Xenopus tropicalis: one gene and its partners. The protein of the gene in region 2 interacts with the protein of the main gene of each other region in a pairwise test. Links are inferred from orthologs where the notes say so. Each region holds a gene or a part of one and is shown on either strand. Other genes may lie near its edges. The genes, in order: ppp1r3c.1, ppp1cc, sfrp1, ppp1r18, zfyve9, aatk and tprn.

Region 1 (4,179 bases), on a different chromosome or scaffold from region 2:
ACAGTCAAGAACGCTGCTCATTTTTTTCATTCTGACACCAAAAAACAATATTGTCAGCTTACGAAGGTACTGTACATCAAAAAATACACATTTAAGCCAGTTACAAAATAGAAAAATACACTGCTCAGCTATTTCATGTAAAAAGTGCAAGAGTTTCTATTGAGAGAAAAAGGAAGAATAGAGAAAATAAAACATAATTCTCTGCGCCATAAAGGTATTTCATAAAAAGCTGTCATTACTCTTCAGAAGGAAAATAAGGTTTGACTATCTGATGTGCAAAAATATCGACTACAATCATTTCATCCTTTAAGGAACCTACAATTCTATCAAATACCAAATTCACATATAAAGGTGCAAAAGCGATTTGCGTTACCTTCAATATGAAGGAAATTGAATTTTCTGACTTCTGTAATTATCTCAAAAAACATAGAAGACAGGGAATATTACAGATTGCTTACAAACAAGTGCATTTTTTTTTACAGGGCAGGGAGAATGAGGGTATTATTATCCTGAAAGGTTGCTCCTTATTTACACATAACACTAAAATGTTGGACATCTGGTAATCTTCCAATATAATACATCCTTTGTTTTAGGTTTGCCAGAGCCCAGTGGGCCAGAGTGGACAGATGCATTGCATGGCACTATGTTGTACACACCTCTAGCATCAAGTGGGATCAAGAGTGGGAAGGGAAATAGTTCAGAAATTGACAATATATAAGGGATGTAGTGTAACTATGCAGTTTGGTTTTGCAGTTTACTAAATGGCACAGCATTGCTACTGACTATTTTATATTCAGGAAACCTACAATTCTGTATTAAAGGGGTTTTTGGCAATCTTTTAGAAAAGGCACTTTTTACAACATCAAAGCAGATTTGTTGGGATAGCTTAAAGCAACATTGCAGGGCCCTCCCTTACCAAAAAAAGTGCACTGGATTGGTTAGTGCATTTAGACTTTCTGTACTCTTGCCTCCAATGCAAAATTATTCATTCTTTAGTCACATCCATAAAAATTTTGATAGGGATGTCCAAAGTGTGATACATTGGTTGCTGTTGTATTATTTAGTGGAAATTATAGTATAACAACAGCTACAAGGATACCAGTTGCACATCTCTGAGCCACCTTGTATGATCTTACATTATTTAAACTGAGTCTGTGAAAGGTTTTAAAAGTCCAGCTTTTAAAATGAAACCTAACACTACTTTCCGAAGTGTATGGTGCGTTTCGCGCTTACTGGCAGGTCACTAGAAATACATGATAGCAACTCAAACATCATTATGTAAGTATTGCATTGACAGTCTCTTTGTATTTTCAGCTTTTCAACCTTCAGGGGTTGTATCGTTAGCCATTTCGTACCATAAATTCATCCTAAAACACATATCTGCAAAACTCCTTAGGGTGTCTAAGTATTTACTTATAATAGATATACCATGACCTGGATGAATGAAAATCTTCATTGTCATATCCTTAGGGTGTCCTGAATTCTATCCGATGCCCTCTTTGTAAGAACTATCCTCATATGGGTTACTACAAGCTGCTGTGTTTATAGCTCATCATATTAGCCTTACACAAATGTATATTCTGTGTATATGACTAACGCCAGAGATTCAGCTGGCATCAGCACTGAGCGCTCTATTTCTATGGTGGACAAAGGCAGTACATATGGTGTTTTGACAACGTGCTTGTGAAAAGCGTACTGTCCTAAGCTATGGCTGTGAACATATAGCTATCAGCTTTCCTTACACTGTTACTTTATTTGAAGAATTTCATTTGTTTGTTTGCAAATGATGTCTCATCAGCACCGAGATGTCTCGATGAGAATGAATAAAGCAGAACATCAACAATGTTCTTCACCAGTAAGGTGATCCTCCTATTTTACCCCAACTTTGCCATTCGGGGTACAGACCAGCAGATGTTCTGGGGCTGCCAAACTGATCAAAGTCATTGTTTTGTGGTTTCTTCTTATAGTCATATGATGCAATCTCTGTTTTAGTTGGGGTAGGTGTGTGCACACCATCTGATTTCCATTCTGCACGTGTCACTGAGTAGTTCAGTCCATCATTGTTGTCCCAGAAGACCTGCCCTTCACTTTCATAGGATATACAAAATTCGATTTTCTCATGACTGGGAATGTTGGGGGGTATGTCAATGACGAAGGAAAATGTGTCACTGTCAGTGCTTCCATAGACGTTGTTCATGTAGACACAATCAACATCTACAAATGATTTCCAGGTGTTGAAGGTGATACGAATCTTGACAGATTTCTTGTAGCTCAGGTTTTTTACTTTGACAGTACCTGCAACAGATCTTTCCTGAAGGCTGCAATTTTCTAGGCAGACTAAACTCTTCTGAAGGCGATTGCGAAACTGCAGATAATCAGCTGAAGGCTGAGTGAATCCCAGTATCAAGTTCTTCTCTTCATGCAGCTTTAAACTGGCTGTTATATCTTCTAGGTCTATCAGGTCAAACTGAAGATCTAATGAAGATTCATCCTTAAACTCTGAGAAGACATGCACCGAAGTTAAGGAAAGTCCTTTGGAATCAGCAAAGATGACCTTCTTTTTGTTTCTAGACTTTGAGCGGTTCCACTCGTTGCTCCTGAAATCAGATTCCTTTTTCAGACTGAGGCATGGTCTTAGTGGCTTATATCGGTTCACAAAATTTCTTCCCCTGCAATCAGGGGGACTGAGAAATTTTTTTAGCGGTGGAGAATGTGCTAGGCATATCCTAACTGCCACATCTACAGGCATTATGGATCGTGGGAGAGAGCGGGGTTCCAAAATCTGTATCATTCTGTAAAGAGATAAAACCCATAGATAAAATTATGTTTTTGGTCTACAATGTGCACATACTCACAAACATTTAAGAATATATTGTCTGAGCTACCCATTTAAAACTATTCTGTAATGAAACCATGAACTGCGTCACATAAAAAGGAATATCTGCCTAGAGGAGATAATAGATGCGTTGCAGTGCCCCCTTATGGTCTTTAATTGTCAAAATAAAAAACGTCTCATTGTATGCAAAGTTATTTATTTTAAAACAGTCAGTTGTATATTATGGTATTGAAGTCTACATCATTAGTATCAATATTTCTATTAATATTGATAGCCTGTCATGACTTAATAACATGTACAATCATTAAATAATGCTGTGACTTATTACTGTAAAATAAGCTTGAAATTACATTACATTACATTAACATTTATTTATAAAGCGCCAACATATTCCGCAGCGCTGTACAATAAGTGGGTTACATACATTGGACATACAGAGTAACATATAAAGCAATCAATAACCGATACAAGAGGTGAAGAGGGCCCTGCCCAAAAGAGCTTACAATAAGATACTGTCTACTTTAAATCCTTATAAATAAATTCTTTGACATGCTTGCTGGGATAAATGACTCTCAGTCCTGCAAATTATTTGTGTATCTTGAACTCAAAGAACCTACATGTCCATGGAAATAATTTATATACATATCATTTTAACCTTCAACAAACTCAGTACAGAAGAACCTTCAAGTATAATGGTATATATTTCAGAAATCTTTCAACTCTTTAAACACATCAATTCGACTATATCAAGGGATGGCACTTGACCATATATCTCAGACATCACTGTATTCTGCTCATTCCCTACAAAGGCTAAGTTTTACCCATTGTGCTGCACTTTGCAGGTTCTGTAGTAGAACAGAAATCACAGAAAGCCCCCATGCAACTTTGTCTGATAGTTCTGCTTGCAGCAGACTGAGCTGCCCACATTAAAAAGTGTGTGGTTAATGCTAAACTACAAATCCCAGCAGCTCTAGAAAAGACCTTATGCATAGATGCAGGAGACAAGCTGGCAATTTCTAGTATATATAAAGCTTAAAACCACTGATACAGAATTGGGGTCAGTAAGAACCATAATCCCTTTACCATCAATCATACAAATGGACTTCAGTGTATGCAATCACTATTAAACGTAAAATATACATGCATTAGGCATTTCCCTTTGCATTATTACACTTTTTATATTTAATTATAAACCATGGTACAGTCAGTGCATAAGAAAGTCTGATAAACACACTTTTTTTAAATGACATTATAAGACCATTGTATCTTGCCCATACAATGTAACTAGCAGAAAATAGACATATGAATCAGGTACCTCTCTACTCACAGTAGTGCTGAAGACA
Region 2 (4,067 bases):
AACTGCTGGGAGCTTTGTATTCATTCTAATAAAAATCTTAAAGAAACAATCCCCTTTTGTGACAATACTATGAAATAAAAAAAAGTAAAGGGGTCAGTTAGAAAGGCCCTTGGCACAGATGCAAGAGCACTAAAGGGCACAAGGGCTTATCTACCGAGCACTTGTGTCCAAAGTTGTGCTGTTTTTTGCAGGGAGCACCAGATCAAACATTTAGAATGGTGTTAGGCTGTTGGCAGCCTAGTCCTAACTTTCTACAACATATTTATTTCAATACTGGTGTAGAGATTTCAATTAACACTAAGTTGGTAGGGTAATAATTATTCACCCTGGACTAGTTGAGACACTGGTCTCCTGATCTTCAGGTGTCTGGGTTTCCACTGGCCAAGAAATTGCCAAACCTCCTGGCTGGCCCTGGCCCTGGCCAATGTACAGAAGCATTGATACCTGCACGTTTCTTCTTGCGTTACTAAGCCAGAAAGCATGAAGTCAGGGAGTACAATTATTTGGGGCAAAGGCTTCTGCAACTACTGAGAAAAAACAGCAATTAATGTATTAAATGTGACAGCTTAGGCAGCAGCACTGCCATCAGATGGGACAGAGGGAAATTTGGTCAGGGGCCTGATAGCAAGGGCTTCTCACAAGAGCTGATCTGAGACTTTTGGGCTAGTGGGTGAAGTCTGGGCTGATTGTGGACAACTTGGCAAAAATGGGAGTGAATTCGGGTTTTTTTGGAGCTCCATTGTACTTTTTTGCAGGATCCACTGCTCAGGTGTCAAGGAGTAGCCCCATAATTACTGATGGCAACCCTGTTAGGAGGCTACCAAAAGGTATTTCTGTGTATTAGTTGAAAACAATAAATTTAGCTGACGTGAAGTAGCCATATCTATTTTTATTTTACGTGTATCGTTTTTTCAAAATTACTAAGTATTTCACTTTGTTTTGGAAATTACACCTCATTCAAATATCATTTACAAAACCTAGAAACCCACAGAATGATCAAAGACAATGTCACTGGATCTTTTTTAAAACAAAAACAACCCTCACACGTGTAATGCATTCCTAAAACCGATAACGGTTACCATTTTTTATATACGCAGTACTAACTTTTGGCACTAGAGAAAAAATAGTCCTAGCTCGCAAATACGGCCAAATTTCAGAAACGGCTGGCGCAATGAAACACAGCGTGGGTTGAGATTTGACTGTACGTGCTATCGCCTGGGTCTTTAAAATGTACCAGGTCGTGCATAGATATTCATGCGCGGGCCGGCAGGGGAGGAGGTGGCGCCATTTTGTCAGGTTCTTGGGAGTCTGTAGCGGAAGACGAGCGAGGGGGATTGAAAAGCCGCTGCGGCGCCAAGACTGCCCCCTGCCCGGTTTCCAGTACGTTTGGGCTTCTGTTTTTATTGCGACAGTTTACTGGGTCCGCCATTTAGACTTTCGGAGCAATGGCAGATGTTGACAAGCTTAACATCGACAGCATCATACAGCGACTGTTAGAAGGTGAGGATGGTACTCGGGAAGGCCTGGCCGGGTTTCCTTACACTCTGTCACTTTACTTTCATGTGGTGGCAGGGTTGAAAGGGTTGCCATTAGCTATGTATGTGAGTGAGCAATGATGTATACACGGTGTTATTATTGGGGCAGCGGGGTTTGTAGCATCCTGGCTGGGCTCCTTGTGCTGAGATTGATATGGCAGTTGGAGCGGCTGTCAGCCTGCAGTTGCGTTACGGAGCCGTTACCGGAACAGGACTTTATTCTATACTCCGGTACATACAGGGTGCCGCTCTGATTGCTCATAGTATATATCTAGTTAATCAGGCTGTTGTACGAGTTATTGGCCGGACTGGCCCAATATACATTGTATAGAGGCGATCCGCTGGCTCCTAGCCGCTGCATGTGTATTCCATGTGCAGAATCCGGATTCACCCAGTATATCCGATCCTTAACACTGCGCAGCGCTCCATACACCTGGGAATCGCAGCGATCCGTATAGGGACCAAGGTGCTTCAGACTTTAGATTGAACTATGATTATTGCTCACTCCATAGGGGGCATGTTGTGCATTAGCTGATTATTTCCATTTGCCTTAGTTGACCTTCATAACTGTGTATATTGCCAATAGGTGGGGGTTATCCTGACCCTGTGCCACAGCTGTGCTGCTCTCACTCGCAGCTTTACTGATGCACTATATGGGGGAGTTGGAAGAATAGATTGTGTCATTTTGTGTAGTTTGCCTTTAGTTATGGGCAATGGGTGAGCAGCAATGACTGGATCTATTTTCATTTGTTGTTCTCATTAGTAAATTAATGCTGATGTGGTGTGACTTTAATGAGGAAATGTAAGCTACTAGCTCTGTGTAGAGGTGCCATTACATTTTCTTTTTTTTTTCTCTAACACTTTTTGCTCCTCGGTTCTCTATTTGGCAACTTAGGCTGCAATTCCCTTGTGGGGTTACAGGTCCTTGCAACCAGTTACTTGTTTAAAGGGCAACTGTGATAGGAAAATTGTTTACGGCTAATAGACCCTGCAACTCGGGTGGAAGAAAGCAATACTATTAGTGGGCATCTATTTATGGTATATAGTCTATATACATATATTTATGTATATGTAATGAGTTAACTGACTTACTCATTGTGAACATTCCTGTTGTGATGCACGCATTCGCATGAATGTGCCAGCTTATGTTTAGGCTCCAAATATGGCTGCCCACTTTACACTACCTCCTGGTGTGGACAGCATAGCCCTATTACATACAAAGCCAAAGTGTTTTTTGGGGCAAAATGTATAGTTTGCCCCAACCAGAATGCAGGCTTAATTAGCCCATATTTTCTGCGGTGAATGCAATTTTCTTGTTTTCTTTCTACTTCAAATTGAAGTACAAATAGTGAGTAAAAAAGGACATAATAAAAGCCTTGCAATGATTCTGAATTCCTAGTTCACTGACTTGCATTCACATGGCATTTTAGACCTTCAACTGTGAATATAAAGTAAATAAAAGTCAAGATTTTAATTGTATAAATCTGCAGCATACTAAATGTTAATGACTAAAATTCTGTAGGCTGATATGCTAATGTATTTGTAAGGGCAAAATATAAGTGGTTGTGTCCAGACAAGACAATGAAACCTTGTTGCTCCTATATTTTACATATATTAAAGGGGCATTATACCCAGTTTTCACCAGTAAAAAAAACATTGGCTGAGCTGGAAAAGAAAAAGGGGGTCAGCAAAAATATTTGCTTGCCCCAACACTCCAGCTGAAACCGAAGTTCTCTTGCTGTAGGCGATCAGATTCTTCAAACAACTGTCGTACCACCTTCTGTAACTATTAGTCTAATATTTAGGCGCAGGCCGAGCAAGGCTGGATTCCACCCAGCAAAAAACACATGGGGAACAATAATACCTCCTTTCTCAACATTTGTTTAATAAATAGGGGCTGAATATACTTATGTCTTTTGTTTTAATTGTGAAAAATCTCATTTTTATTTTGTGAGCTAAACAGGAAAACTGAAGCTATTCCATGTTTGGTCCTTGCGAGGTAGATTTTTAAAAATTGAAATGGGCAAAAAGTGTTCCGTAGAAGACCTATTTATTGATCTATTGTTAAACAAGGGGGGATACTGCACCTTTTAATGGAGACATATTGGATTTTTGAAAGTCACTCTCGTGTTGGTAACAATGAATAATATATGGTGCCTGATTCAGTGCCCTTAAGTGTTTACTCTGAAAATGTCACATTTAGAGAAGCTACCCATAGATCCTCTTGTCTATTACAAATGAGATGTGGGCTTGTCCTGACTTCTCCAATTTAAATATTGTGGAACGACCTAACTTAAACTGTTCATGTGAGGAAACCCACAAACATCCAAAAGCTGAAGCTGTTCTGTATAGAGGAATGGGCTAAAATTCGATGTGCAGGACTGATCAACGTTTGCTACAAACATAAAACATGTTTACATTTACTAATTCACGAACGCTCCGAGCGTATTTTTGGTGACTTTTTCGTACTTTGCGACAAAATTTGTGCGACAAAATCGTATTGTCGCGCTGAGTAAGAACGTTTTGGATACA
Region 3 (2,514 bases), on a different chromosome or scaffold from region 2:
TGATAGGGTGGGTATTATATTAATTCAAAATAATTCATTTTCTTTCTGTCTTGCTTAGTAGGGCAAAATTGCAACGATAATACAAATGTAAACTCCAAGGATTCTGAACCTATAGGTTGGGTGTGTAGAGTGGATCTGTATAATCACCTTTAAAGTTATACCGTGTTCTGCTACAACAGAACGTAAGGTAAATGATTGGTTCTGTGCTCATTTTTCGAATACAGAGCTGATCATGGAACACTATATACAATTGTGGATTCTAATAATGAGGGCTGGGTTGGTCTCCCAGGGGTGGCTGGGAGTCATTGAGCCCTTTAAGGCAACTTTAGGAGTAGTTAGTCAATACCTTCTAGACGGCTGAAGTTAACCTGAAGGCGAACCATCCCTTTAAGCAGAAGGTAGCTAAAATAAAAACTACTGTGAAGCTATTTTGATCATTTGCTTTCTCCATACATTCTGCCCCAGTATCCAAAGAAAGTTCATCACATTGCCATTACTAATGAGAGAATACACAGTGTTTATTGAAGAACATGATGAACATCTGACTTACTAAGTGACTGAATTAAGGTGTACATTAGATACTGATAATGACATTGCACACAATGCTAAGAGAACATATTCATACAGGCAGCGTGTATAACCCAATAACCCAACTGTTCACAAGGCATTGGCCTGTAAGGGATTTGGTGATGGAGAAGGAAGAGCCTTTAGAGAACATCATGCAGGGGTATTTGCATTGCTTGGGTATGGCACCCTCGGAAGTATGACCATGCCCTGTTCCACGCCCTGTACAGACTTCTACATCTCTTGCAGTCTTTCCACAGAATTTGGAAGGGTACTGCCATGTTTCATTGTATACCCCCTCGGTGGAGTTCTGAGCATTAGAGGGGTGTTTGTGGTGCACACAGAACTGTCTTTAATGGGGGGCTGTGAGCGGTTTGGGGCACTTGCTCTTTTTGACCTTGCGCATGAAGCGGTTGAACTCTCGGTTGGTCTTGTCCCATTTGTGTATTGCAGTCAGGAGATGCTGAGACTTCACCTTTCGGCCCAAGACCAGGAACTGTCCCTTCAGTTGATCCAGCTGGTGACAAGGACAGTTGGCGCCATTCTTTAGATAGAGGACTAGGTCCGACCAGTCTTTTTTCTGAATTGGTCCTTTCTTCAGAGCTTTCTTTTTTCGGAGGAGCAACTTGCGGTCCCCATTTTCCTTTTTCACTTCCCGTATAGACACCTTCAGAGCTGTCAAATAAAAACAAATAATTAGACATTGGGAAAACAGTTATGGCAACCCAGTGATGGGAGTTCTATGACCCAGTGGCTGTGAATTAATACTCCCACAATCCTTAATGATAAGGTCTGGTTCTTATGGGGTGCTATTAGTCCCAAACACATTTTGTCTACAAAAATACATTTTGTATACAGACACAATCCCCAGTACATAGAATGAATGTGTGCATTCTGTCAGCAGTTATGTGTAAAGCTACTTTATTATGAATTATGTAAATAAAAACTTGAACAAAATATATAATGGTATAAATAAATAGCATATTCCAGCTAGATTTCCATGAAAAAATAGAAGCTTGTGACAGAATCCTTCTTAACCTATATAGAATGGAGTTTGTAATATAAATATATTCTTTTGTGTGCAAAATTGATTTTGGTCTCATTCTTCATTAGAAATATGTCTTTTGTATATCTTTTACCAATGTATATGGCCACATGTTCATTCTATAATACGGTTTGTTTTTTTGTATACAGAATGCATTTTTGTAGACAAAATTTACTTGGGATAAACCGCTCCCCACTCCCCACTTCTTTAACTACAGATCCCAGCATCTTCCAGCAGACCTTGGCTGTTTTCCAACTATCACTTTGGATATAAAGCCTATTGTATAAACCAACCAACTTGAATTCAGAGCACTCTGGCCAAGGGCAAATACTGGGAAAACAGTGGCAAGAGCACTGATTTGGTGTAGTGTTTGCTCTGTAATTATGTAATGTTCATTATTCAAACACAGAGGGCTTCAATATTTGGTCATTGCTCTTTAATGGACTGCAGGTCATTTCCAAATATCCATATACAGCATATACAGAGCATTTACTTTTGTTTTATCAATGGGGATCCTTTTCCCCATTTTACCCATTTGTTGTCCCTGAATTGGGTACAGAAGCACCCAGCCCCCTTGAATGGTGTAGCCAATACAATAAAACTCTTACGCTTTCACTGTCTTGTGGCTCCCTTGGCTGCAAGTCCTGCTGTAAAAGGTCTATTTTGTGATCCTTTGACTATTTGTTGCAAACAACATGCAGTTATACAGTACTGTAGAATTACTTTTCTGTCCCTAAAAATGGCCTTTTGGTCAGCCAGTTTATTCAACTAGATTGAACAACCATCCATCAAACTGGTACAGTACCCCCACGCTTAGGCAAAATGCTTGGAATGGGGCAGAAATGTTACACAAAATGAGCCATATACTCATCTCAAGGAAAACCAGCAATAAGCTGCCGACATGG
Region 4 (3,939 bases), on a different chromosome or scaffold from region 2:
AGTAATGACAGGAAAATAATTTCATACAGCTAAAAAAGAAAGTTACACTTAAAAAGTCAAATGACATATAAAGAAGCATGTGTAGAGTTCATTAGAGAGGAAGAGAAAGAGGAAGAGAAAGAGGATACGCAGAATAAAAAGAGAAATAAGCATGGGGGTAAGAAAAGGCTGAAATACACTGTTAGAGGGCTTAATTAAATGTATGGACAAAACAATTCTGCAATGTTTTATACAAAATAAGGGTCTAGATAATGTAACTAAGGTTCTGAAAGTATTTTCAGTATAAGGCATTACAATTTTGAATTAAAATTTAAAACTGTTTAGTATCAACCTTTATACATCTGTTTTTCTCATGGTACAAACAAAATCTTACAGATTATAATTGTCTGGTCTTCAAGTTGGGAAACTCTTCAGATACAGATCTGTGGAACAATTGGAGCAACCAAATTAAAATGAGGAGGATGGAATTGTCTAGACTGACAGATAGCCATACTGCTGAACCAGACAAAGAAATGTAAAACATACATTCTGAAAAGGGAGAAAAAGCAAAATAGGAGAACTAGATACAAATAATTCAGACATGCCTGCAAGAGATGAGTGGGCAAACAGGAAAGAGGGAGATGCACTGACAGTTCTACAGAAAACGGAGGAGATGTACATCGCTAAGGTTTAGGAGATTCATGGAAGGTAAAGACAAAAGCAAAAAAATAGGCAGCTGCATACACAGCAGTACTTTCTATGCACCGAGTAAAATAGATTTAAACAGTGAGAAGGATGTTAAGTCTATATATTTGTTTGTCTATGTATGTATGTAGGAGACTGTATATTATCGCACAAATAACACTAAAGTATGAAAATATACTGCATAACCTGTGTTGTAGCGATTGGTGAGGATTTAAACAAAAGGTAAATCAGAGTATGTTCTTCTCTCAAAAAATACTTACTAGAGTGGGAATCACACTTTATAGTGGCACCAAAGAAATAGAATAGAGGACAAGTTGGTGGAAGATATGAAGTGAGAGTGCGCAAAAGTGATCTCATTGTACTTGTATGCACATATGAAATGACATGCAGAAACCCACAGGATATAGTCAGATATGTTACATACCTTTATTGTGAGTAAGCAGGCACAATCCCCTCTAATACATCCTATAGCCCAGCAGGATGCCTTGATGTTAGGAGAAGTGAACTGATGTCTGGAGCAGTTTCCTTTGTTAAACTTAAACCCAAAAACATAAGAATATGTAGCGTTTCTCTGTGGAAAGTCCCAAAGCGTCACACGTCTTCAAGTGAGCCCAATTCCTTCAGACCCTTAAAGCAAATACAGATGTACAATGTAAAGACTAGGGACTTATAGCTTGGGCAACCTTTGCATTGGAGAGGAATTCCCAGAGAGTGAAAGAGAAGGGTGTGTAGGAAGAAGGGATTGAATCAGACAGAAGGAGAGAGGGGGGTGGAGGGTGAGGTTCCAGCTATGCATAATGCTAAGAGTAAAGGGGGAGGGTGGAGAGAGGAAGGATGGTGGGGGGAGATACTACAGACAAGTTAACCCTTACATAGCACTGTACTTTTTTCTATTGACATCGGTAAGGCAAATGGGCTTTGTTTTAAGAAAATGCTGGGATTTTTAGTTTTTAAAAAATCATTTTAATGCCCTATTGTGAAAAAAAGCAAAGACTGCTCTTAAATATCCACTACAAGACACACACAGACATTCTGTATTTTTTATACTCAAGATACTAAATCAGTACAACGTACACACAACAGTGGGGGACAGGATGGGACTAATGGAAAAAAATACTAAGCAACAGCACATGACAGATTATTTATGCTTTAACATAAATATCCTAAACAGTAAGAAGTTTTAGCTTTTTGGATGTTTGTTTTGAGTTTAATAACATACTACTAAGGCAAATTGTGCATGAAATAAGAGCTACCTCATGTATTATATTTTATACTATTTATATGGACGGACACAACACAATACAATACATATGTAAAACTTAATGCAGAGTGCTTCAGTTATGCGTGGTTAGGGTGAATTTACAGACTGAACACTAGAAAGCCACACAAAGTATAAGAAACTGAACCATAGGCAACAGTTACACAAAGCTGGTTTTTGGTCTGTGTATAAATGCAGGCCAAGAAACAGATGAACCACTCACCTGCACACAAAGTGAATTTCAGCACAGAAAAGTGTCAATATGCATTTTCACACTGAAATCTGCTCTGTGACTGTACACAGGCTGAAGCAGTGCTTATTAGCACAGATACCAGACCAGGCTGATTTGAGTGGTTGAGCTGCTACTTGCATCTGCATTTATATGCAGCCAGAGTTGGACTAACTCTGTGGGCTTCCACGACCCAGACATGATCTCCTTTCCCTGATCGTGTTGAGGTATAATGTAAGCACACTTGGGAGGGATGGAGTTGGTCTGTGGTGCCCCTGGAGGGGGTGTGGAGGCCACTGCTGAGGCCCCTGGGGCGGCAAACTAATGGGCCCTGCACAACCCAGTCTGACCCAGTATGCAGCCCAAAAAACAGCTACATGTGATCATAGCCTTAGCCATTGGCATTTATTTTGTGTATAACCTGATCATTCAGCATAATGCATTTGGGCTTGTGCGCCATGCTACAAGGTTTTTAGCAATCCTATTTAGGGAAAATATAATCCATCACAATCTGAACATACTTCTTACTCCAAGTATTTTTATCCTGTAGTTATATAGCGCTGACCTATTTTGCAGTACATTTATGGAATGCGATATTTGGAAATCTTTTTATTTTGAAAGTTCTGAAATACAGGAAGCCCACCACCCATAGACTCCATTATAAGAAAATAATTCTATTTTTTTTTTAAATGATTTCCTTTTTCTCTGTAGTAATAAAACAGTACCTTGTACTTCATCCCAACTAAGATATAATTAATTCTTATTGGACACAATACAATCAATACAAGTACCTTTTTTAGTCGATTTAAGGTATGGAAATCTAAATTGTGGAAAGATCTCTTATCTGGAAAACTACGAGCATTCTGTATAACAGGTCCCATACTTGTACTTTACAGAGATTACATACTATATTATATACTTTTGCATCAGGCCCTGCCCCTTTTGAAGCTTACAATCTAGGGTCCCTATCACATTCACACACACTATGATCAGTTTTATAAAGGAGCCAGTTAACATTCCTGTGTATAGATATAGATAAAGCTATGGTCATTGCTATTAGCTGCAGTACTCTTCCCTTAACCAGATCAATAGGCATTGTGTACATCAGTGCTGTCCAACTGGCACAACCGCACTCTATACTAGAATTAAGCCAAATTTGTAGTTTAAAGAAATGCTGTCATGAGGAACCATGTTTTTTTTTTTCAAAATGCATGTTAATGAAACTTCTCCAGCTGAATCCTGCATTGTAATCCATTTTTTAAAAATACAGGATTTTTTTTTTTATATTTAATTTTAAAATTTCACATGGGGCTAGCCATATTCTTAATTTCCCAGGGTGCTACAGCCATGTGACCTGTGCACTGATAAACTTCGGTCACACTTTACAGCTGAGCTGCAACTTGGAGTGATATCATCCCACTCCCAGCAGCTGATCATCAGAACAATGGGAAGGTAGCAAGATAGCAGCTCCCAGTAGATATCAGAATAACACTCAATAGTAAGAAATCCAAGTCCAGCTTGAGACTCCTCCAGTTACATGGGAGTAAAAGAAACAATAGGTTACCTGAAAGCAGTTCTAATGTGTAGCACTGGCTCCTTCTAAAAGCTCAGACTCCGGCACAATGCACTGAGATGGCTGCCTACACATCAATATTACAATAAAAAAAAACCCCAAAACATTTGTTGGTTCAAGAATAAAATTTTAACTGGTAAGAGTGGATTATGCGCTATGTAAACAGTGTAATTTAGAAATAAAAAGTACACCATA
Region 5 (3,500 bases), on a different chromosome or scaffold from region 2:
AAACTTTGATTATGACTTTCTTTCTAATTAATGCAATATGGAATGAGTGCATTAAATTGGACCTAATATTTATGCCCAGTTAATGGCACTAGGGAAGGATAACATACAAACAAAGGTGCTAAAACCGCACCAAGACCATGACTGCTGTACATGCCCAGTTTGTAAGACTATGAGGAAGCTTCCTGCTGATTGACTCAGATGACACATTCCTAAGGGGGGGAGGGAGTTCTTAGCATTCTTGAGGGAGGTGGGAGCAGGAGAGGGGAGAGAGGATAGAGCTGCCTGTCTCTGGCACAGGAAAACAAAGAGACAAAAAATCCCGTTTATTTTGACAGAGAAGTCAGTGCAGCGTTTCTGTGAGTGCTTATGGCTGTATTTACATAGACCTTTCTGATAAAGCTTACTTAGTTTTTAACTTTCCTTCTCCTTTAACGGTCGTCTGCTGTAGCCCATTGACATTTGGAATCTCTTTTTAGCTAGCCCACATCACTCTTGCATATCATAGATATTAATATTGGTGTGTCTTACAATGTTACTGTTTCCATGGTATTATTATATTATATCTGTAAATATATTATATCTGTTGGATGTGTAAAATTATTTTTGTTTTTTGCAGATGTTAACAGGAAATGCTGGTGCTTTACTACAAAGGGAATGCATGCAGTGGGCCAGGCTGAGATTGTAATCCTATTGCAGTGCCTGCCTGATGAGAAGTGCCTGCCGAAGGACCTGTTTAGCCATTTTGTCGAACTGTACCGGGAGGCGCTTGCGGGTATGGAAACCAGAATTCTAAAGTAGCTGACTATTTTGCAGTTGGTGGGAAGAAGGCTGTAGTGAAGTAATATTAAAGTTGTTAGTGTATTGAACATAGATTAAAAAAGGCCAGTAATGCTATTTAACTGTTGGAATTTTGTATTTCACATTTTGATGTATAAATGCAATGGAGATACTTTTTTTTTTAGTTTAGTTATGCCTTCTTTAATAGCCCAGAATTAAAAGGTTTAGGTTCTAGGGATGCACCGAATCCAGGATTCAGTTCTTTATTCGGCCAGGGTTCGGATTCGGCCGAACCACATCCGAATGCATATAATATATATAATGCATATAATTAGCACATGCTAATTAGGATTTGGAAGGGTTAATGTCGCCACATAAACACTAAAGAGTACACGCACTGCAACGTTTAACCCTTACAAATCCTAATTAGCATATGCTAGTTAGGATTCGGTTCGGTATTCGGCCGAACCCAAAAAACTGGATTTGATGCACCCCTATTAAGAACATCTTAAGGGTAGCCAAATGCTGGCATTTACAGGTTGTACAGACATATACAGTTGTACATCTATAGGCGTTGCAAAACACTATTCTTGCGTTTGTTAGGGATAATAGCCAAAGCAATTTGATATGACAAGAAGGGAGGAGGACACAGACAGCAAGGTGCATTACCAATTATCAATTGCTATCTAAGTTTAACACTTGCTATGGTTTTTAAGGCGTAACTAAGCTACACTGTTTACATAGCAAATAATTCACTCTACCATTTAAAATTTTATTAATGAACCAACAAATGTTTTTTTTTACAATATCAGTGTGTAGGCCGCCATCTCAGTGCATCATGTCTGAGTCTGGGCTTTCAGAAGGAGCGAGTGCTACACATTGGTATTGCTTTCAAGTAACCTATTGTTTTCTCCTGCTCCCATGTAACTTGAGGAGTCCCAAGAGGGACTTGGATTTTTTTTTTTTTTTTTTTTACTATTGAGTGCTATTCTGATATCTACCACTTTTAGCAATACAGCTGTCAGGTAGCTGCTATCTTGCTACCTTCCCATTGTTCTGCTTATCGGCTGCTGGGGGAGAAAGGGCGGGGTTGATATCACACCAAGTTGCAGCTCAGCAGTAAAGTGTGACTGCAGTTTATCAGAGCATATGATTGTGGCACCCTGTGAATTGAAGAACATAGCTAGCCCATGTAAAATTTCAAAATGAAACAGGTTTTCCCATTAAAGTATTTCTTTAAGCACAGTTTGCTCTGCACCTCTTTTCTGTCAGCTTCATGTTACTATAAATACAGTGTCACACATTTGTACAAGGAAGTTTTGGAACTCAGTAGGATAGTTTATACAAATGGAGGGCAGAATATTAGAATAATCAGACATCTGTTTTAGGCCTTAGCTCCATGTATTGTTTGAAAATTGACTTTTGGGTTTTTAACAAATACATTTTGTCATTGTAATTCATAGGTAATGTTGTGGGGAATCTGGGCCATTCCTTCCTGAGCCAGAGTTTCCTGGGTAGTAAGGAACATGGTGGATTTCTTTATGTAACGCCGACCTACCAGTCTCTCCAGGACCTGGTTCTTCCTGCAGAGCCGTACTTGTTTGGAATCCTTATTCAAAAGTGGGAGACTCCATGGGCCAAAGTGTTCCCCATACGGCTTATGCTGCGTTTAGGTGCAGAATACAGATGTAAGTAGAATTGTGGATTATTAGTGAAAACAATATATATATATATATATATATATATATATATATATATATATATATATATATATATATATATATATATATATATATATATATATATATATATATATATATATATATATACACATAACTCTACAAAATCTGGTCCATGCTAGGTAATTGTCTATATTTTTAATGCTCATTATGCATCCAGCTTGAATGTTACCTACAGTTGGGTTTCTGATATTGAATGTAGGTAGTATTAAAAGGTAGTGAATATAAAAGAAAAGAAAATGGGTTTATTTTCTTTTTTTTATATTCACTACGTTTTAATACTACCTAAATTCAATATCAGAAACCCAATTGTATCAGAAAAACAAGCTTCTTTTATCAGATATAAAGTCTATTGTCACTATATTTAGACTGTGTACAACAGTAATACTTTTACATATTATTACCGAGGATATTAAAATATGGACGCATGTTAATATCTAAAAAAATAAATACAGAAAGAAAAATTTCAATTGTACCTTGTATTTTTAAGGGCAAAGACACACAAGGCAATAAGTTGCCGCAACTTTTTAAAAAAACAAAATCGGCAATTTGGTCGGCGTTTTAAAGTCGCGTAGACTAATCGCCCTGTGTGTCTTTGCGCTGAAATTTTTCAACTTTGATAGATTTATGTGTCTACTTTAAAATTGTATATTTTTATGTTCTAATTAGTTATTTTAATTTTCAGTATTGATATTCCCTCACTGTCCTCTTTCTTGGCATAACAGCAAGAGAGTTATCCACAGCTTTATAAACCCAAGCAACAATGCCCCAGACCAAATGTTTGGGGCTAGGCTTCATAGGGCTGTGGATCACCTTTCTTCTGGTTGTAAGGATGTCTTGGAGAGTTTACAAATATCTTGATCATTACTTTTTATCTGTAGCTGGTGAAAGAGGCTAAAGTAACATACAGTGTCTGGATAAGCAACACCTATTTCATTGCTTTCACAGTTTTCCTTTTACCTTATAGTGTACCCGTGCCCACTC
Region 6 (4,063 bases), on a different chromosome or scaffold from region 2:
TTCTCTGGCTCCCCCTGCATCCTCTGCCTCCAGCTCCCCCCTGCTTCCTCTGGCTCCCCCCTGCTTCCTCTGGCTCTCCCCTGCATATTCCCGCTCCCTTCTCTGGCTCACCCTGCATCCTCTGCCTCCCCCCTGCTTCCTCTGGCTGTCCCCTGCATCCTCCCTCCTCCAGCTCCCCCCTTCTTCCTCTGGCCCCCCCCTGCGTCCTCCCACTCCCTCCTCAGGCTCCCCCCTGCATCTTCTGACTCCCCCCTGCTTCCTCTGACTGTCTCCTGCATCCTCCCTCCTCCAGCTCCCCCTGCTTTCTCTGGCTCCCCCTGCATCCTCCGGCTCACCCCTGCAACTTCCGTTCTCCCGCTCCCCCCTGCGTCCTCCCACTCCCCGCTGCTTCCTCTGGCTCCCCACTGCGTCCTCCGGCTCCCCACTGCGTCCTTGTGTCAGATCATAATGGGGGCCGGGTAAATTACCTTGGCGGGCCGTAGTTTGAGGATGCCTGCTTTATACATTCTGTGAGAGGCTTATAATGTAAAAAGTGATTTCAAAACTGATTTTTAAAAAATGTAAAACATAGCAAAAGCATAAAAATAACAAAATAAAGGCTAATGGCAATTGTATCATAATACTGTGTCTTCCATACTAAGCTAATTCCAAGGTGAATCACCCCTTTAGCCATACTATAGTGAAGAATCTTGCCAACACGTGCAGTTTTTTAATACATTTACAATGTGGTCAAAAAGCAGTAAAAACCTATGCACCAGTGTGTATGAGCCCTAAACTGCACTGTCATTACTAACCAGGCCCACATGCTTTTCTACATCACTTTGACCAAACAGTATGTGAGGAGACAAGTTACACTCAATCAACTCTGAACTATTTTCTTATAGAACTGTCAGATAAAACAGGCCACCATCATATTATTAAAAAGCAAACACTGTACTATAAATCTTTTTGATTAATATGGCATTAAAGGGGAAGTTTGGGTTTGAATAAACTTTTAGTATGTTATAGAAAGACTTCATTTTTTATATTGTATGTTTTTTTTTTTTTTAATTATTTGCCTCTTTGTGGCTTCAGGTTGCCTAGGGTCACTGACACCAAAACAGAATGGCAGTTAAGATATTCTTGTTTTTATTGTTTAATTATCTTATCGGGCTCTCTACCGACTAATAACTCTTAAAACTTCAAGCCCAATGGTTACACAACAAAAATGTAAGAAGTTTACAAATGTAGTTTTCATTTGAAAAGTTACATTTTAGGTTAACTACCCCTTTATTGCACCTTTCTTCAGACTGCAAAAATGCAACATATTTATCATTTCTAGGGTATTTATATCCAACCAGGTCAGAATTAGCCATCGTTTTATAGGCCAAATGCAAAAAACCCTGAATACTTTACATACATTAAGAGATTACAACTGGCTGATCAACATACACAAAGAAAGCATTACATTACTGCCATAAATAACATTTGTCTCCTGTTTGTCACCTATTAAGTACCAAAAATCTTTTTATTTTCAATATCTGCTCCATGAAAAGCCGACCATTAAGCCCCTACAAGTCCTGGCCTCTATAACAGCATACACTGCAACAGATTGCCTTACATTTGGTATATACATATATATATTACTCTGTATACACAAATTATACATGATCACATCAGTTTGAAAAATAATGGACACGTGCATGATAACGTAACCATACTATATAAAGCTGTGCATTTGTTGATGCTGCTGTTCTTACATAAGAGAGATTGGAATGATAGAGACTACATATTGACTACATTATATATATATAATTATAGGATGTGCCCGTTATATGCTAGTTAGTGTGAATATAACCTTCAAAGCCAGCAGCAAGAAATCTACAGTTTTCTGTTTACCAACAAGGTCCATAAATATGTGATTGTGGGAGGGCTGCAAGAGGGGCCACACCAAAGGGAAGCGTGCATGACGCACATGTTAAAAGTGGGGTGAGTGCATGTTACCTGAATATCCTAAGATGCTTCAGTCCATCCTACAGTCCAGTGTGAGATAAATGATCTGTCTGATCCTGCAGCAGCCACAGACACAGTGTTTAATCCCCAGCACATGTCATTCTGCAGCAGCCTTCACAATCCCCAAGCCACACGGTACCCTCCCCTGGTTTGGATCCAGCATTGGGCTACAAGGACAGGGGGCTCAGTAGCCAGAATGGGCCAGCAGCAGTAGGGTAGCACAGAGGCAGCAGGTACCAGGGCTCTCCATCCAGACCTCTGCTCCCCTGCCTCCCCAATCAATCCGCAGAGGGGAGGGATATGCAGAAAGAGGGGGAGGGGAGTCTGGGGTTTGTCTCTAGGATCTCAGGAGGGAAGGATTAAAGGCAAACAAATTCCATTAAATCTAAAGGAATGAGAGAGGTGAAGCCGCTTATAACTTACCAGAGTCGAAGTGGGAGCTAAAGGCAAAGCTGAGGTTGAACAGGGAGGACATGATCAGAGCAAGGAGGCCGCCCATTGCCAGGCATCAGGTGCAGAAGCAGCATCAGAGCACTAATACATGGGAAATCAGAAATAAGGGGTCAGCAGGAGAGTGAAGGGGCAAGGGTGGGGGCAAGGGTGGGGGCAAGGGTGGGTGGGTGGCAGCGGCTTCAGCAGCATCCTCTCTCCGGGGGATCCTCAGGGAGCAGATACCTTGAGCCGCAGGCAGAGCAGGGGGAGAGACGCTAGTCGGCTGCCGAGAATGGCTGGAAGTGTAATGCAGGGTTATAGGCTAAAAGGGAGTCGTGAGCACTGTCAATGCTGCTGGGTGATTTGTGTTACTCTCTGCCTTACACACACACACGTCTTTCCTCCATCCTCTGCTGCTTAGAGCGCCCTCAGCTGCCGAGCTGCGGTAATGCAGGGCACAAGCGTAGCAGCCAGTGTTGCTCCTGACACACACAGGCACTGCCAGGCGGGAAACTGTGCTCTCTGCATTTACTCACTGTGTCTTCCTCCAACTGCATCTATTGTCTGCTTCAGCTTTAGCTGTTATGTCAATATTTATGTGTATAAAGGTGTAATCTGGTACAATCATGGCAAACATTGATTTTATTTTGCGTGAAAGTAGTAAAGTGGTTAAAAAGAGGATATTGCCTTACGGCTATAGGTCCAACATCTGATTTGTCTGATAAAATTTATCAGACAAATCAGATGTTGGACCTATAGACATAAGGCAATATCCTCTTTTTAACCACTTTACTACTTTCACCCAAAATGCCAAATTTTTTAGTCTTTTTCCGACGAATGGTTGGATATCGGTCGTATGCTTAAATACTGTTCTGAACATGAAATAGTTGGCAGACACCAACCGTAGGACACTGATTTCCATTGAGCAGGGAAGCAGATAAAATCACTGTGGGCAAAAAGCCTCTAACTGCTGTGCCAAAGGCCTTATGCTCACAGAGAGAGCCTCACAGAATTTTGGTAATTAAGACATATATATATATATATATCTGTATTAAGACATATATATATTTGTATGTATATTTATAATTATTATATATGTATATTTATTTTTTTTACCATATAAAATATATTTCTCAGTTAAGTTTCAGGACTGAAGTATTGAATATTGTCCAAGTGTCAAGTTCAACCTTTTTCTCATATACATCCTACCCATCTACCTACCTACATGGGCCAGTATAAACTGCTGACATAGCCCCTCCATACTGAGTTGGCAGCTGTTTGACTAGGGTTGCCACCTGTCTGGTTTTGACGCAGACAGCCTGGTTTTCAGAAGGACTGTCCTGGTCAAAACCGCCTGCCCGGTTTCCCCAATTTGGAGAACCAGGCAGGACTATTTGAGATTAAGGTGGTGATCGGCCAATTGCCGATCGCCAGGTCATAGCCCCACCCCTGTGATGTCATAATCCCACCCATGTGACATCACTGTCCTGCCCTGTGACGTCACGCGCCCCCCAACCCCCCCCTGCCCAGAGTTAGCCACCGCAAAAGGTGGCAATCCTATATTTGATTCATGTATGGGTCCTGACACATATCTGGCACCTTAGAAAATTGTTTTTTTCTCAAGCATTGTGTGGGCTTG
Region 7 (4,241 bases), on a different chromosome or scaffold from region 2:
CCCGTCCAAAGATTTCCTTTTAGAGCTCACATCTTCATCTTCCTCTAGCACGGGTCTTGGTAAGGGCTCCTGTTCTGTAATTGGCTTTCTTTTCGGCACTACAGTGAAGGTGTTGCCAGATTTGTTGTGGACAGAAGAGGACAGCGGAGTGTGAGGCCGGTAAGAAGGCAATGGGGAATCGTTACCATTGACGGTAATGTTGGCCTGAACGCCCCCATCCGTTACGTCTGAATTCACTATATCGTCTATATTTGTGATAGGGATATCGGGTGTAAGGTGGACGTTGTCCTGAATGTGGGCCACCTTATTGTTTTGATGTACACTACTTAAATACTCTAGTTCTGCCCCTTTGTCGGTAAAAGAATGGCCTTCTGTGGAAGAATGAGATGGCAAAAGACCACTCTGCCAATCAAAGTCTGAAAGTGAGGGCACACTGCATGCTTTTTGGGTCCCACCATTAACTTCCAGTTGAATCCTATCTATATCGTTACCAGTGTTTTCTTGGAGTGTCTGAGATGGAGGCAGTCCATTTGACAGTATACCGTTGTCTCTAGGAAAGTCTCTATAATCTAATTTAGGGCCATTAGTGGTGGGTGCATTGACTTTTGGCTTTTCTTTGGAAGATTTTTGCACCTCGTGGCGGTCTTCTTTTGATACAGGGGGGTTGCTTTTCTTTGGGATGAATACAAAAGAATTTCTAGACTGCATTCGGATATTTGCTAGTGCCTTTGCCTGGATGTCCCCTTCTGGGATGCTGCTGGGATCGGTTATTACGGCGGGCCTGATCTCAAAGGAACTGTTACTGCTGGTGGAGGAGGAGACCTTGTTTTGTTGGTTAGGGGTGGCACTGGCCAAAGTGGGTTTAAATTGATCAGCTAAAGTGGTTTCTGATTGAGTGGCACTAGACTTTAGAGGGGAATTACTATTAAAAATGTCTGCCTCGGACTTTGGCCTCCTTGAGTTGTCAACCTTGGAGATATGATTTGCGGAAACACTGGCAGATGGCACTTTTCTGTGTTCCTCACTGGCCCTCTCTGCAGAAGAGGTCCGGTTATACTTAGTTTTGGATAGGAGATCTTGGACACTGACCTGTGCTTTAGGCTTAGGGTTCCCATCAGGATGGTCGACATAACCATTTGTAAGCACCGGGGCATCGCTAGGCTGTACTCCAACTGTCTCTGAAGGTTTAGCCTTGGTATAGGAGGCAGCCTTTGGGTAGACAATGAAGGTGTTATTTCCAGACTTCTTTGTGGCATTCAGCGGTTTGGGTAGGGGTAGATTGTCTGCAGTGGAGCCGGCTTCAAACCTTTCCCTGAAGGTTGCCACGCTGGGTGACACAACTTTCTCGTCTGTATCGTTATGAGAAGAGAGTGGAAAAGGTGATAAACCAGGTGACGTTACTGGAGAGCTTGTGGGGCTGGAAGGCTTTTTATACAATAGAGCAGAGGAGGTAAGGACAGGCTTGGAAGGTAGCCACGAGGGGTCGTTAAGTGGGAAGCGTTTACTTTCCTCCTCCGAGAAGGAATTGGATGAAGGGGAGATTTCTCCGTAGCGCTTGGGGGCCTTGTTAACCGTGGCTTGGCTGTGCCTCTGTGGGGCTGTCTGTTTTGGCAAAGCTGGCATCTTATCGCTATCATCTCGGGATGGGCTGGACCTTCTATCCAGAATATCGTCCCAACTCCTAGACCTCGGGGGCCTGCCGTGGCCATGGCCGAATTTTTCCAGCAACCTACTCACTCTCCCAGCCTCCTCCTGCACTTCGCTGCTCTCCTTCTCGACATTCTGGGGCCCGGGCTCTTGGGTCTCGTAAATGACCACCTCGGAAGCCCTGATGGCAGTGACCTTGCTCCCGCTCTTGGCCAGAAGCGCTTCCACGGGGTCGGCGTGGGGCTCCTGCTTCTTAGTCCCGCTGAAATACCCAGGGTCGGACTCGATGATGATTATGTTCTCGGCCCGGATGGTGCGGATGCCCGGCACGTTGCTATACATTTCCAGCAGGGTGGGGGCCGGGGAGGGTTCCCTGGGCTGCTTTCGCCTGCGCTCCTGCTCGAGTCGGATAAAGGGGTTCTCATGGAGGGGCCCCAGGCTCTCCTGCAGGACCAGTCGCTCGCCGTCGTCGCTTCTCCGTTTCACGGGGGCGGGTTTTGCGGAACCGAGGGCCATTACCGGCTTGGCGGCTACGGGGCTGGAGGTCCTGCCGGGCTTTACCGCTGCTGGGCTTGGAGATCTGGCAGACTTTACTGGGCTGGGGGCCCTCACTCCCTTGACTGTGGCTGCAGGACTGGGGGCCCTCACTCCCTTGACTGTGGCTGCTGAAGTGGGGGCCCTTACTGCCTTTGCTGCTGAAGTGGGGGCCCTCACTGCCTTTGCTGCTGCAGGACTGGGGGCCCTCACTGCCTTGCCGGCCCCAGGGCTGGATTTTCTCCCGGAGCTGCGACCCCTGTCAGAGCGCCTGCGATGGGGCGACCCGTCCCGGCTCCAAGGCACCGGGGCTGCGGCAGGTACGCCCTGTTTCTTGGCCCGCTTCCTCTCCAGAACCTCTCGCTTCCAAGCCGGCATGCTGACAGAGTGGGGTTCGGGCCGGAGCCAGGGGCGGGCGGTGACGGACATGGCTGCGGGCGATAAGGGACAGACACCTGAGCTCCCTGGTCCCGCCGCGCCGGCAGCTTCTCACTGAATGAGCTCAGGTGCAGGGACACAGCTCCTGTCAAGCTAGTCCCGCCCACATCCTTCTCGTTCCCTAAGCTGACACGCCCCCTCCATACCATGTGACAACACAACACATACGCCCACCCCCGCTGTCGGTCACTCTGTAGCAGCCCCGCCCCTACACCTGTTGCACGCTGAATTAAAACTTAGCTAAGCCCCGCCCAATTCATTCTCCGCCTCCCACCGTGGGCGGAGTGAGAGGCTTTACGTCAGAACACATGGTACAACAACAAATCTCCAACTTCATAACGAGGCGCGAAACGCAAATATTTCCAACGCAATTATGTTGCCGGGGCAACTGTCTATCTTTTGCTGTGTAAGCAATTGTATACGTATTTACTTCACAGTAACCCTCCTGCGGTACTGCCTGTATATACTTACCCCAGGGTAACCCTCCTGTGGTACTACCTGTATATACTTACCCCAGGGTAACCCTCCTGCGGTACTATCTGTATATACTTACCCCAGGGTAACCCTCCTGTGGTACTATCTGTATATATTTACCCCAGGGTAACCCTCCTGCGGTACTATCTGTATATACTTACCCCAGGGTAACCCTCCTGTGGTACTATCTGTATATACTTACCCCAGGGTAACCCTCCTGTGGTACTATCTGTATATACTTACCCAGGGTAACCCTCCTGTGGTACTACCTGTATATACTTTCCCCAGGGTAACCCTCCTCTGTTACTGCCACAGTAGTGGGTGGGTAAGTTGGCAGTCGGGGTCCCTGAGAGGGTATGGGGGCCCCTGGGGTAGCCCCTGGGTCTGACCCTGCTCAGGCCTCTGTTCTGTCTAGCTTCCAGCCTCTCATTCACACCGCTGCCTGGTTGCTAGGGTAAGGACGGAAACGTTGGGTAATACAATTAAATAAATGATCACTATTTTTATATATTAGCGTGCTGACCCTCTTTTGCAAGTATTTACACAGTTTTTGGTCAATAGCACCCATTTTTTGAATTTGGCATTAGAGTGCAGACACACTTGGAGTTAATCTATATATATATAGGCAGTAGTGAGCCAAGTAGTAGTCACTATCTGACAAAGTCTGTTATTCCCACAGCGGCAGAGAGATACCCGAGTGCCAGCTGGCGTTCCATGGGGCAGAAGCGCTGATTGTACCAAGGAGGAACGGCTGATTATATGGAGTCACAACACAAAGCAGCAGATTTCAGCTTTGCCGGCGGGTTCCAAGGTTCACGTCAGCTGGTGAGTCTTATTAGTCCAAACATTGCCTTGCCAGGAATTTTCACATGTCTGAATTGGCCGCTGTGTGGGAAGGAGGGGAGTGTGGGATACTGTTATTTATATCACGGTGCTGGGGCTCTCCTCTTTCCTTTCCAGGGACCCTCAGTGGGGAAAGGTTTGAGCGCCCGCCTGTGTCTCTCTTTATCTCTCTGCTTCTCTCCCCGTCCCTCTGTATCATCTTTTCTTCCCCTTGAATGAATATCTGCAATAGTATTGATTACCCCTCCTATGACCGTCCTTCTTGCACCGTGAACTTGGGAACTTTATTGAATGGAGATCTTGGA

What was found.
Region 1: the proteins of ppp1cc (region 2) and ppp1r3c.1 interact in binary tests that used the Homo sapiens proteins (3 or more experiments, as listed by UniProt). The link is inferred for Xenopus tropicalis from reciprocal best matches to the Homo sapiens genes PPP1CC and PPP1R3C.
Region 3: the proteins of ppp1cc (region 2) and sfrp1 interact in a two-hybrid assay, tested with the Homo sapiens proteins (2 studies listed by BioGRID). The link is inferred for Xenopus tropicalis from reciprocal best matches to the Homo sapiens genes PPP1CC and SFRP1.
Region 4: the proteins of ppp1cc (region 2) and ppp1r18 interact in a two-hybrid assay, tested with the Homo sapiens proteins (2 studies listed by BioGRID and IntAct). The link is inferred for Xenopus tropicalis from reciprocal best matches to the Homo sapiens genes PPP1CC and PPP1R18.
Region 5: the proteins of ppp1cc (region 2) and zfyve9 interact in binary tests that used the Homo sapiens proteins (3 or more experiments, as listed by UniProt). The link is inferred for Xenopus tropicalis from reciprocal best matches to the Homo sapiens genes PPP1CC and ZFYVE9.
Region 6: the proteins of ppp1cc (region 2) and aatk interact in binary tests that used the Homo sapiens proteins (3 or more experiments, as listed by UniProt). The link is inferred for Xenopus tropicalis from reciprocal best matches to the Homo sapiens genes PPP1CC and AATK.
Region 7: the proteins of ppp1cc (region 2) and tprn interact in binary tests that used the Homo sapiens proteins (3 or more experiments, as listed by UniProt). The link is inferred for Xenopus tropicalis from reciprocal best matches to the Homo sapiens genes PPP1CC and TPRN.

What each region holds. Positions count from the first base shown.
Region 1 is NC_030683.2:37,168,156-37,172,334, forward strand, and holds the start of ppp1r3c.1 (protein phosphatase 1 regulatory subunit 3C), read right to left. Parts: upstream 2,801-4,179; 5' UTR 2,792-2,800; coding exon 1,850-2,791; 3' UTR 1-1,849.
Region 2 is NC_030677.2:162,953,133-162,957,199, reverse strand, and holds the start of ppp1cc (serine/threonine-protein phosphatase PP1-gamma catalytic subunit), read left to right. Parts: upstream 1-1,267; 5' UTR 1,268-1,445; coding exon 1,446-1,500; intron 1,501-4,067. UniProt on the Homo sapiens protein: Protein phosphatase that associates with over 200 regulatory proteins to form highly specific holoenzymes which dephosphorylate hundreds of biological targets.
Region 3 is NC_030679.2:126,995,824-126,998,337, forward strand, and holds the end of sfrp1 (secreted frizzled-related protein 1 precursor), read right to left. Parts: intron 1,240-2,514; coding exon 917-1,239; 3' UTR 501-916; downstream 1-500. UniProt on the Homo sapiens protein: Soluble frizzled-related proteins (sFRPS) function as modulators of Wnt signaling through direct interaction with Wnts. They have a role in regulating cell growth and differentiation in specific cell types. SFRP1 decreases intracellular beta-catenin levels.
Region 4 is NC_030684.2:75,522,123-75,526,061, forward strand, and holds the start of ppp1r18 (phostensin), read right to left. Parts: upstream 2,801-3,939; 5' UTR 1,109-2,800; intron 1,067-1,108; exon of another isoform or gene 945-1,066; intron 423-944; exon of another isoform or gene 374-422; intron 1-373.
Region 5 is NC_030680.2:96,601,196-96,604,695, forward strand, and holds part of zfyve9 (zinc finger FYVE domain-containing protein 9), read left to right. Parts: intron 1-616; coding exon 617-772; intron 773-2,240; coding exon 2,241-2,465; intron 2,466-3,483; coding exon 3,484-3,500. UniProt on the Homo sapiens protein: Early endosomal protein that functions to recruit SMAD2/SMAD3 to intracellular membranes and to the TGF-beta receptor.
Region 6 is NC_030686.2:26,607,591-26,611,653, reverse strand, and holds the start of aatk (serine/threonine-protein kinase LMTK1), read right to left. Parts: upstream 2,801-4,063; 5' UTR 2,668-2,800; intron 2,527-2,667; 5' UTR 2,492-2,526; coding exon 2,416-2,491; intron 2,343-2,415; exon of another isoform or gene 1,984-2,342; intron 1-1,983. UniProt on the Homo sapiens protein: May be involved in neuronal differentiation.
Region 7 is NC_030684.2:1,727,052-1,731,292, reverse strand, and holds the start of tprn (taperin), read right to left. Parts: upstream 2,801-4,241; 5' UTR 2,611-2,800; coding exon 1-2,610. UniProt on the Homo sapiens protein: Essential for hearing. Required for maintenance of stereocilia on both inner and outer hair cells. Necessary for the integrity of the stereociliary rootlet.